Linked DNA regions of Rattus norvegicus. The protein of the gene in region 2 purifies or fractionates together with the protein of the main gene of each other region. This does not show direct contact. Links are inferred from orthologs where the notes say so. Each region holds a gene or a part of one and is shown on either strand. Other genes may lie near its edges. The genes, in order: Arrb1, Nolc1 and Csnk2a2.

Region 1 (3,647 bases), about 92 Mb from region 2:
ATAGTAATGGGCAGATGTGGTTTAGCCTTCCCAGGGGTCCTAAGGGGTAAGAGTTGTTGTCAGTGTTTCACAAATGAGGGAACTGATGCACAGGGAGGTAATTTCCCCAGAGCATGCCGTAACTCGCCAGCTCAGTCTGTCCCGGCTTCTACCCTAAGCCCTGTGACCTCCATTGAACTCTCATTCGTGGGCCTCTCTGAGTCACCTCTTCACTGTCCTGCACTCTTGGCTGAATCCACATCCTATAATGGACATCCTCCTCCATGAGGGCTGTTAGTTCTGCACACTTCCACTTAGCAAGTGCCAGGCGGCAGGTGCTGACCCACGTGCTGAGACTGTGGTGGTGAACCAGCTAGGTAAGAAGTTCCCATCCTCCAGTGGCTCACGCGATCAGGAGACAGGGAGCAAGAAGTAAAAAATAGTCCCTTTCTTACTATTTATTGTGCTGGGTCCTGGGATCCACAGACCCAAATGAAGCACTGCTGTCGAATGGCTCAGGGACAGGGTTGAGGAGGCTGGGGCTGTGTCACATGGTGACAAACCCTCCAGGTTAACCACCGTGATTGGCGAGCAAGAGGGAGCTGCAGTAGCCACTTGAGCAGAGAAGGGAGTGTGGGGGCCGGTGACTCTGTCTGTCTTTCTCCCCATCCATCTTCTTTAGGAATTCTGTGCGGCTAGTCATCCGGAAGGTTCAATATGCCCCTGAGAGGCCTGGCCCTCAGCCCACGGCTGAGACCACCAGACAGTTCCTCATGTCGGACAAGCCCCTGCACCTTGAGGCATCTCTGGATAAGGAGGTAAGAGACTCAGATCCCATTGTCCCCAGCTCTACTACCCCTCAGATCCCAGTGTCTCCTGACAGCCCTTAAGTGTTTGCAGAACCCTGTTGTGGTTCAAAGGACTGACAGAGGTAGGCATGGGCATTTACAGGATGGGAGCAATGGAAGGGTTCTGGTCCTTCTCTTCACACTCTGATAATTGCCTGCTTGAGACCGGGTGGAGAAGCCCAGCACATCAGCAGGGGTGATGATGGGAAAGAGGACCCAAGGATGCCTTGCTATTACCCTCTTATCTATGAGCAAGAAGGTGAAAAACCCTTGAAGTCAGGTGACTAAGCCAACTGACTGGGGTGTAGGAGTGCACCTCCTCCTTCTTGGGGCAGCTAAAGGCAAGGGCCTGGACGAGTGGTGGAATTCTCTAAGAATTCCGAGCAGGTCCTTTAGTTGGTTAGCCTTTCCTCTCTTCTCCTGAATTTTCCAGAGTTTAATGTGTCTGCGAACCCAGACCATCAGAGCCCACAGGGACTTGAGGCCTTGCTCTGTCCAAGCCTGCACATAGAATAAGGAGAAGCAGAGTCTCAGATAACCTGTCCAAGGTCATGCAATGTTTATCATCATTGCTATTATTGTTGTTTGAGCTAGTGATCAGAATGGGACTGGAGCCGAGGATGTCAGCTTCTTTTTCTTTTTCCTATGTGTGTATGTGGGCGTGCATGGGTGCATGGGTGCTTGTGTATGTGTGTGTGTATGTGGTATGTATATGTGCGTGTGTATGTGTGTGTGATGTATGTGTGTGTGTGGTATGTATGTGTGTGTATGTATGTGTGGTGTGTGTGTGTGTGTGTGTGTGTGTGTGTGTGTGTGCACGTGTGCCCACACATGCATGTGTGTGGACCTGGAGGACAATCTTGAAGGTGTCATTCTCAGAAATGCCATCCAGCTCCTTTGAGGCAGTCTGTCAGTGGTACAGAGCTTACCTGGGCTAGATTCTGTGGGCATTGAGCCCCAGGGGTCCTCTTGTCTCTGCCTTCCTAGTGCTGGGATTACAAGTACCCAGCATTTCTACACAGCTTCTGGAGATCAAACTTAGTTCCTTGTGTTTGCAACACAAGTACTTTACTGACAAAGCCGTCCCCTCAGTCCTGGAATGGAAAGACATCTAGTACAGACGTCTTTGAAAGGTCCTACAGTGGTACTGAAGGTTCATATACACTTGGTAGTTTTGTGACACTTTTATGTCAGTGGGAAGTGGCTGAAGAGCTAGGGGGCAGAGTTTAGTGTCCCTGCCCACACTCTTCTGTCTTTTGCCTCACAGATCTATTATCATGGAGAGCCCATCAGCGTCAATGTCCATGTCACCAACAACACCAACAAGACTGTGAAGAAGATCAAGATCTCGGGTAGCTGGGAATCCTTCTGGGGGGGTGGGATAGCGGCAGGCGTGGTCTTCATTAAAAGCCTGAGACAGTACCATTAGTAGCTTCCTGAAGCTTGCGTCTGCCGGCAGCCTACAGTGGCTTCAAAGCTGGGCAATGGGTTTACTGCCTTGCAGATTCCTTCTTAGGCTTCCTGGGCTCTGGCCAAGCTGTCCTGGGAAGAAAGACTTCGTCATGGAAGGGACTAGGCTTTGATGGGGTTTCTGTTTGGGTGGAGTCTGGGGTGGTGGCCTGTGGTAAATGCTGGCCATTGTCTCAATCTAAGCAAGCACATCTGCCACAGGGAGCTTGAGGTATATCATGAGAGGGACCCCTGACTCATGCGCCCACCTCCCCGGCCCCTCTCTCTCCAGTGCGCCAGTATGCAGACATCTGTCTCTTCAACACAGCTCAGTACAAGTGCCCAGTGGCCATGGAGGAAGCTGAGTAAGTGTGTTTGAAGCCAACTTTGGATGGGTGGGACTAGATAGGAGAAAGGGAAGTTCTGAGTCTAGGACCAGGCATCTTTTTTTTTTTTTTTTTTTTTTTTTTTTTGGTTCTTTTTTTCGGAGCTGGGGACCGAACCCAGGGCCTTGTGCTTCCTAGGTAAGCGCTCTACCACTGAGCTAAATCCCCAGCCCCAGGACCAGGCATCTTTAATCAACCTGCAGAGAGCCGGGCCTCTGCCTTCTTTGACATTCACAGTAGATGGCACGGAAGAGTCTTCCTCCAGGTGCTGACATTATAGGCGTGAGCCAGCCACACCTGCCACTTAGACCTGGTTTCTAATATCCTAGAGACAGAGATGTTAATATCAAACCAACTATTCTTGCATTATTGGATAGTCTCATATTCACTGTTGATTAAAAATGAAGTCCGCAGCCACAAGGCATAGATGTTGGGGGTTCATTGCAACGACCTAGAGCCAGGACAGCATTTAACCCCAGGTGGGACACCATAGTCTGTATATGCATCTGCAGCCTGGAGGAAGGATAGTCGTCTGGGCTTCCAGTGAGCATGGTTTCCCGTGGGGTTGGGCTAGGGGGTTGAGATGTGGCTGGCTCTGCTCCAAGAGGCAAAGCTGGGCCTTACTCCATGGCTGCCCTGGTGTCAGGTGAATGCATCTGTCTCATCTTTGGAAAGGGAGAGGGGGGATAAAATAGCACCAGGCCAGAGTGAACAACGGAGGTTCCTGTACATGACTGATGGATACGCATTAGAGCAAGTAGAGTTTCAGTGGTAGAACCTGGGTAGGAGCTGCCAGACACTTACTCATGGTTTGCATGCAGTGATACTTTTGAAAGTAAACGTGGGCTGAGTAGTTAGGAGCCCTTGCTGTTCCTCTAGAGGACCAGGGTTCATTTTCCAGTCCCCATGTCAGGCAGCTCACAACAGCTTGTAATTCTAGTTCCAGGGGATATGATGTGGTGCACATATAGTCATGGAGGTGCGT
Region 2 (4,187 bases):
GAAGAGGCATTGGCGTCCTGCTGTGTCTGTAAGAAAAGAGGCTTGGTTAAGGAAAGCGTCTCTCGGTCAGATTCTGTTACTCTTTGATCAATGTAATTTGTCAGCCTGGCATGGTCCCAGCACTTGGAAGACAGACTGGCAGATCTGTGAGGCCAAGGCCCAAGAGGACTATATACAGAGTTCCAGGACACCAGGGTTATGTAAAGAGACCTTGTCTCAAAAGTTGTTTTACTGGCTGGAGAGATGGCTCAGTGGTTAAGAGGTCCTGAGTTCAAATCCCAGCAACCACATGGTGGCTCACAACCATGTGTAATAAGATCTCATGCTCTGTTCTGGTGTGTCTGAAGACAGCTACAGTGTATTTATATATAATAAATCTTTTTTAAAAAGTTATTTTAAGGGGCTGGGGATTTAGCTCAGTGGTAGAGCGCTTACCTAGGAAGCGCAAGGCCCTGGGTTCGGTCCCCAGCTCCGAAAAAAAGAACCAAAAAAAAAAAAAAAAGTTATTTTAACTACCTACTCAATTTGAAATGGATGTTACATCTTAAGACTTTTCCTACTTGTATAAATTAGGAGAAAAATATTCCACTTACATATCACCTAACACTGAACATGAAAACTTTATAGCATAGCTATTCCTATGCCTTTCCATCCACACTTTTACCAGCGCCCACATCTGTTAACTCCAGATCCACGCAATCCTGACACCTGTGGCTTCATATTTTCTAACTATTAACTTTTTTCCTAAACAATTGACTTTTAAAAGTCAGAAAGGAAAAAAAAAAAAGTCAGAAAGGCGGGGCTGGAGAATTGGCTCAATTCCCAGCACCCACATGGTAGCTCTCTACTGTCTGAACTCCAGAATCTAACACATCACACACATTTACATGCAGGCAAACCACCAACGTGCATGAGAGAATACATAAGCAAACAAAGGTTCCAGGTGTGGTGGCATATGCCTTAAATTCTAGCATGTGGGAAGGAGAGACAAGTAGAGATGAGTTTAAGTCTACACAGTGAGCCCCAGGACAGCCATAACTATATATTGAGACCCCATGTCTTAAGAAGGAAGGGTGGGGGGGTTGGGGATTTAGCTCAGTGGTAGACCACTTGCCTAGCCTGGGTTCGGTCCCCAGCTCCGAAAAAAAGGAAAAAAAGAAGGAAGGGCGGGGAGGAGTAAGGGGCACTGGAAGAAGGTCCATCGGCTAAGACCATTCAGGAACAGGTGGGCATGTATCATCAGATCACATGCCAGGCTGCCCTGGCTCAAAGAACTCTCTTATGTGGTCTGGTGGCCTGTAACCCAAGATTCCCAGGATCTAAGGCAGGAAGATCATAAGGCCAAGGCCAGGTCAAAAATGGCCACAGAAACAGGAGGGGACCAGGCAGTTATGATGGTGCAGCCTTTAATTCCAACGCTGAGGAATCAGAGGCAGGGGCATCTCTGGGAGGCCAGTCTACTCTGCATATGAGTTCCAGGCTAGCCAGGGTTACACGATGAGACATAGAAAATAGAAATAGAAATAAAGCAGAAGAAACCTAAATTGTCAGTTATGCTATCACCCTGAAAAAAAAAAGACCGTAAGTCTACACAGTCTTTCAAGGTGTTTCCATGAACACTACAGCTTTTCTTAAGATGCAGACGAGACATTTCACATTCCTTCACTTAATTTTGCTCTTACATGGATTTGAAGTGACACAATAGCTGTCACTCATCCCATGGTCCCTGTGTGTCTACAATGAGATTACTGGCTTGTGTATTTTTCGCTTGGTGAATCTCATTCACTCAAAAGCTGTAAATAGGGCTGAGCACACCTTTTTATCCCTGCTTTTGGTAGGCAGAGTGAGAGCTGAGTTCAAGGACAATCTGGTCTACAAAGTGAGTTGCAAGACAGCCAAGGCTACACAAAGAGAAACTCTTGTCTTGACAACAAAAACCAAAATGGCATCCTGCTATGTTCAGGCATGCTTAGGATGAGGAGGCTGAGGCAAGAGGGACAGAAGTTTACATCCATCTTCCACTCTACAAGGACTTTTATACACAATATAAAGGGTTGAACTTTGTTTTAAATAAAAGGATGCCCAGGATCATCAATGTAGAAAGTGGTGGATCTGGCCTAAGCCTCCATTTGCTTTATATCACTACCTGAAGCTCCAAGCCCAGTGCCAACTTGACAGGGAAAGATGCTCACGCTTTCTATGGTATACTGAAAGCAGCCTATCCCTGCACTCATTCATTAAGTAACTAAATAAATAATGATATCCTAGTTTTCATTGCTACGCAGTTTATCCCTGCACTCACTCATTTTTTAAAGTGTATAAATAAATAGGATCCTAGCCTTCACTAGTAACAATTTATCTTTGAGTCTCAGGTAAAACTGCAACCAAGTGTAAGTCCAACAAAAAGTACAGCAGAAGCAGGCACCGCCAAACCAATGCTCCGGGAGGGATCTATCGCCACATGTCCTAGGTCACGAGGGACCCATGCCTGCCACCACTGCAAAACTCACCAAAAGCCGTAAGATTCGGAGCTAGTCAGACGTGATGGAAAGAGATGCCGAGACCTTAAGCCTCAGAAAGGTCGGCAGAGAGGCTTCACAGACATTAGACTGACAGACCCCAGACCTCGATTTCTTGACTTCTAAACCTGACAAGGCCTAGACTACCTTGGAGAGTCGTCCCACCCCGGCCCGCAAACCAAACCAAGGACTCACAGCGCCTGTCGCTTTTGCAAATTTACTGGCCACCTCTGAGAGCTGGTTATCTCGCAGAAAGCCGAGCACAAGGGGATAAAGGTCGCTGGGAACCACGCGGCGCAAGCCGGTATCCGCCATACTCCGGGTTAAACGCGTCACTACCGTTGCGCACGCGGTACGACTGAAGAACTCCAGAGCACAGCCAGGGTAGAGGGCGGGCCCAGTGTCGTCATCACGTCGCGCGGCGCGCAGCGGAAGAATGGCCCCCACGAGGCAGGGCTCCCTCCGCCCCGGAGGCAGGACGCATGCGAAATCTATAAGTTCCTTCCGGTCTCACACGCGTCGTCATCCTGTAAAGGGCGGAGCCCACTAGCCTTCCCCCCCAAGGAGGCGGAGCTTTACGTCAGAGGTCACGCTCCCGTCCGAGGCGGGAAAACTTGCAACTTCCCGCGCATTATCTCTGCTGAATGGACTTCTATCTATAGAAACGTAGTTTCCAAGCCCCGGCTGCTATTCAGACCCCACGATAATCAAAGGAATGGAGAACTCGAGTCTCTTTCACCTTTCTAGAGGTGTCGTCTACTGCTCAAGCTCCCACCAACAATGACTTCTTCACATCCTTCACACCCAGTGAGACTCAAATCATAAGGCAATCCTAAAAGTTGTGGTGACAAAGGTGTTAGTATCCCACATTGACTGTCAGTCACAGCTAGGTTTAAAGACTGTTATCCCAACCATACACAACTCGAAAAGGGGGAGGAGAGCACGGGTTCATTCCAGAGAAAAGATCAAGGGACTCAATAACCCTTTCTTCCTTAAGTCAGAAGTCACACTGAATTCTGAAAACTCCACTATCAGCTATTTTCCAGGTCACATTAGTTATCCCTCACGAAACAATAAAGATGCACTTCCTGTGAACACCTTTTACTTTCCTCAAAACAGTCGCTCCTTCTAAAAAGAAATGTTATCCTATTTCCCAGAGGAGGTGCTTCTATCCATCCATCCATATTAATTTTTTTAAAAAAATCCACGCGCCAGGACGGTGATCAAATTAAATTGGTGAGCTTACCTGAAACACTTAATAGACACAAACCCCAGTTGAGAAAACTTTTATTCTCATAGGCTTGGTGGCAAATGCCTTGAAACCCAGGGTTGAGAGACAAAAGTAGGTAGATCTGAGGAGAGAGGGAGAGGAGGGTGGGGCAAAGGAGGAGGAAGAGGAGTTCTTTTGAGTTTGAAATACTATAATCCCAACACTTTGAAGGCAGAAGCAGTTATCCCTTGAGTGAGATCCAGGATAGTCAGGTTTATACAGAAAAACCCTGGCTTCAGAAGACAAACAACAACAACAACAAAAAAAAAAAAAAAAAAAAAACCAACCCCAAAACTGTATCTTCTCCATCCCACAAGTGTCTGTATTCTAAAATATCTCCATGCACAGGCTGTCACTGTAAGAGAGTAGGCAGGAGAACTGGGGTTTCAGTCCAGTCT
Region 3 (3,647 bases), on a different chromosome or scaffold from region 2:
AGTTAAACGCAGGTACGTGTACAACAACTCCGAGCTTCTCATCTCCCATGCATTCCAAAGGGAGAGTCCCTCAGATCCTGAACCATGCGCTCTGCCACACTGCACAGCGCAGCGCCCTGCAGACTACTGGGGAGTTCCTGCTTTGACAGACTTAGGTCTTTACTCTTCTTTGCCTTTAGAAGGAAGGATTAGAATCTCTGTTTATCACACTGCAGTTTCCTTCAAGTTTTTGTTTGGTGGTTGGTTTTTATGGGCAAGCATCAGTGCCGCATTACCGTCGATTCCCCAGGCTTCATCGTGCTGCGGTGAGACCACTGGAAAGCACGGTGTTCTCAGCACAAGGCTGGGACTGCTCCTTCACCACCGGGTCTGCAAGAGAGGAGCACAGGTTTCCCACATGAGCACAAGCACTGAGGTTATAGAGAGAACACCATAATAGCCAACTGCCTTTCTTTTTCCACAGTACCAAGACAGACACATTTATGTGGGACCCGGGTTATAAAAAAAAAAACAAAACAAAACCAGGCACCAAGCCAGGATCAGGAAATAGTTCCTTATTTTCCCCCCTCAGAGCAGGGTCTAGAACCCACAGTTTCACACATGCTATGGCAATCAATCTACCACCAAGTCACCTCCTCACCTCCCACTGAACATTTGATTTTGGGATGAAGTTTTACAAGGTGCTCAGAGAAGCCCTGAACTCACTCTTCTTCACCCCGATGATCCTCCAGCTTAGCCACGGTGGCCTCATGCCCACTGGGGAACCCCCCTCCCCCGGAGCTGGGGACTGAACCCAGGGCCTTGCGCTTGCTAGGCAAGCACTCTACCACTGAGCTAAATCCCCAACCCCGGGGAATTTTTTTCTAGGTAATTTTTCTATTCCCTTAGAATATAGACCCAACTGCTGAAAAGCACAGAAATTCTAACTTAGCACTGTTCAAATTTATACCAATTCCTTCCTTGAGTACCAGTGTCATACAGTGACAAGCATGTGTGAAAAGGTGAATGAAAGAGCCAATGGCAGGCAGCCACTGTAAGGGGCAGTCAAATACTGAGCTTATTTAATCAAATAATGAATTATGTGGATGGAACCTTCATCAGGTTGTTTTCATTATTATTTCTGAGACAGATCTCACTACATACCTTAGATGGCCTCAAATGTACAGTCCTCATGCATATGCGTGCCTTATGAGTTTACATTAGTATTGTTTTCTGTTTCATTGTTTCTGTTTGAGTCAGGTTTTCTGTGTGTAGCCCTGGCTGACTATACTGGAACTCACTTTGTAGTTCAGACTGGCCTTGAACTCAGGGATCCACCTGCCTCTGCCTCTCGAGTTCTGGGATTACCTGGCTATTTAAATTAAAGACAGGCCTCAAAGATCTGACTACCTCCTGAACGGCCGACTTAAAGGTGTGTGCCACCACTCCGGGCTATACCAATATCCTTACAGTGGCCAACCCCATAGGGTAAAAGCAGCTCTGTGTTGGAAATTAGAAAGCAGACAATTGAATGTTGCCTGTTCAGCCATAGAAGGCTGAAAGAGAAGACCCTGTATATATTTTTTTCTTTTTCTTTTTTTTTTCTTTTTCTTTTGTTCCCTTTTCTTTTTTTCGGAGCTGGGTACCGAACCCAGGGCCTTGCGCTTGCCAAGCGCTACCACTGAGCTAAATCCCCAACCTGACCCTGTATATTTTTTGTCCTTAAACTTCTGCTGTAAATTTGAAACTGTAGCAACATATTCTTCGTGTTAGTTATTATTAGGAATTAGTTAACTCCAGAGGTAAAAAGGAAAAGAACACATAGTAGTCAAACAACACACAGAAGCCTTACAGGACAGAGTTCATCTTGATTCAGAGAGAACTAAGTCTACTCAACTTCATCTCTCTCAGCCTCTTCCATGACTAGACTCAGCTACCTCTTCAAGTACATGGGTAAGGTGTGTGTGAAATTTCAATGGGGAGAACTACTAACATTCAAACGATAAGCAGGTCCAGAAGGAGCACGTGTGCTCTATGGAAGATGTCAAAGGTCAGAGTCCAGTTGTCACACCTGCCTGTTCCCTCACCTCAGAGCCCTCTTATTCACACATTGCTTCCTTTAGAAGCACATGGGGGGCAATGGCTGGAGAGATGGCTCAGAGGTTAAAACCACCAACTGCTTTCCAGAGGTTCTGAGTTCAATTTCCAGCAACCACATGGCTCACAACCATCTGTAATGAGCTCTGACACCTCTTCTTGTGTGCACGAAGATAGCTACAGTGTACTTTCATACATAATAATTCTTAAAAACAAAACAAAAACTCACAGAAGTACGGGTGCTCCATGGCCTCTTTGGCGGTCAATCTCTGTTGATGGTCGTACCGCAGGAGCTTGTCAAGAAGATCAAGGGCCTCGGGGCTGACAAGGTGTCTGTTCTCACTATGGATAAAGTTTTCCCAGCGCTTCCGTGAATGCCTAAGAAAAACAGTGTATCATTACTATTCTGAGACTAAACTACACAAAAAATTCTCCTCTACTAGACCCAACACCAGTGACTCCTTAAACCAGTGTGAAGCAGCTGAAGCTCATTCTTGGAGGCACCCACTTCATATAACTGACGCTTCTTCAACCCCCCCACACCCAGTTATAACCACGATGTACTGACACCAAACTGCTCAATCATTAGATAAACAGAATTTGTTTAAAACTTCTACATCTGAGTGAGAATTGGTTCAATCTTTCTGGATTATTCTTATGGCCCGTTTTTTTCCCAACTATGAGTGCAGCCTGGTGGACAGAATGAGAGAGTTGGCTCTAGAAACAAGTGGTTTCCTATAATAATGTGTGAAGACGCCAGGCAAGCATTTCCTTATAGCATGCTGCAGTGGGGCTGGCCATGGTGGTGTACATCTGCAATCCTAGCACTCAGCCTGAGGCCAGCCAGGGCTGTGCAGCAAGACCTTGTCAAACAAACAAAACTCTAAACCACACAATCTACTGTACCTGAAAACTCAGCATCCTTAGTATTTATTGTAAAACTTAATTCAGAAAAATCAGTTGTTCATTTCTTATTCAAAGAAACATAGTTTTCCCAGATTTGTCGCCAAAGTAAATATATTCAGGGCTGGGGAAATGGCGTCAGCTCCTCTAGAGTTCAATTTCTGACAATCACATGGTGGCTCACACCCATCCCTCACTCCAGTTTCAGAAAACCCTATTGTGACTCTGCAGTCATCAATACACACATGGTATGTACACGTAAACAGATAAAACACGCTTACATATAAACCAGAAAGAAGTAATTTAAAAAAATTTTAAGTACATGCTTTAACCAGAGTAACATTTTTCCCCCTGTAACATTATGATTTTGTCTTCTATTTATTTGCACAGGATCTCATGATTGTCAGGCTGGCTTCAAGTTCAATGATCCTCCTGCCTCAGCCTTCCAGGTGTTGTGATTAGAGGATTAGAGATTTCCATGTCCACACATGGCTTGTCTTCCATTTCTTTTTTTTTTTTTTTTTTTTTTGGTTCTTTTTTTTCGGAGCTGGGGACCGAACCCAGGGCCTTGCGCTTCCTAGGCAAGCGCTCTACCACTGAGCTAAGTCCCCAACCCCGTTTGTCTTCCATTTCTTAGTAGGAGTCCTAGCACTTAGAAGGCTAAGTCA

What was found.
Region 1: the proteins of Nolc1 (region 2) and Arrb1 purify together in Homo sapiens (affinity purification with mass spectrometry; 4 studies listed by BioGRID and IntAct, counting the BioPlex papers as one, with this or other methods). This does not show direct contact. The link is inferred for Rattus norvegicus from reciprocal best matches to the Homo sapiens genes NOLC1 and ARRB1.
Region 3: the proteins of Nolc1 (region 2) and Csnk2a2 purify together in Homo sapiens (affinity purification with mass spectrometry; 5 studies listed by BioGRID and IntAct, with this or other methods). This does not show direct contact. The link is inferred for Rattus norvegicus from reciprocal best matches to the Homo sapiens genes NOLC1 and CSNK2A2.

What each region holds. Positions count from the first base shown.
Region 1 is NC_086019.1:163,305,638-163,309,284, forward strand, and holds part of Arrb1 (beta-arrestin-1), read left to right. Parts: exon of another isoform or gene 1-655; intron 656-661; coding exon 662-797; intron 798-2,094; coding exon 2,095-2,179; intron 2,180-2,568; coding exon 2,569-2,641; intron 2,642-3,647. UniProt on the Homo sapiens protein: Functions in regulating agonist-mediated G-protein coupled receptor (GPCR) signaling by mediating both receptor desensitization and resensitization processes.
Region 2 is NC_086019.1:254,869,058-254,873,244, reverse strand, and holds the start of Nolc1 (nucleolar and coiled-body phosphoprotein 1), read right to left. Parts: upstream 2,887-4,187; 5' UTR 2,835-2,886; coding exon 2,715-2,834; intron 27-2,714; coding exon 1-26. UniProt on the Homo sapiens protein: Nucleolar protein that acts as a regulator of RNA polymerase I by connecting RNA polymerase I with enzymes responsible for ribosomal processing and modification.
Region 3 is NC_086037.1:9,593,331-9,596,977, reverse strand, and holds part of Csnk2a2 (casein kinase II subunit alpha'), read right to left. Parts: intron 2,455-3,647; coding exon 2,306-2,454; intron 370-2,305; coding exon 293-369; 3' UTR 276-292; exon of another isoform or gene 1-275.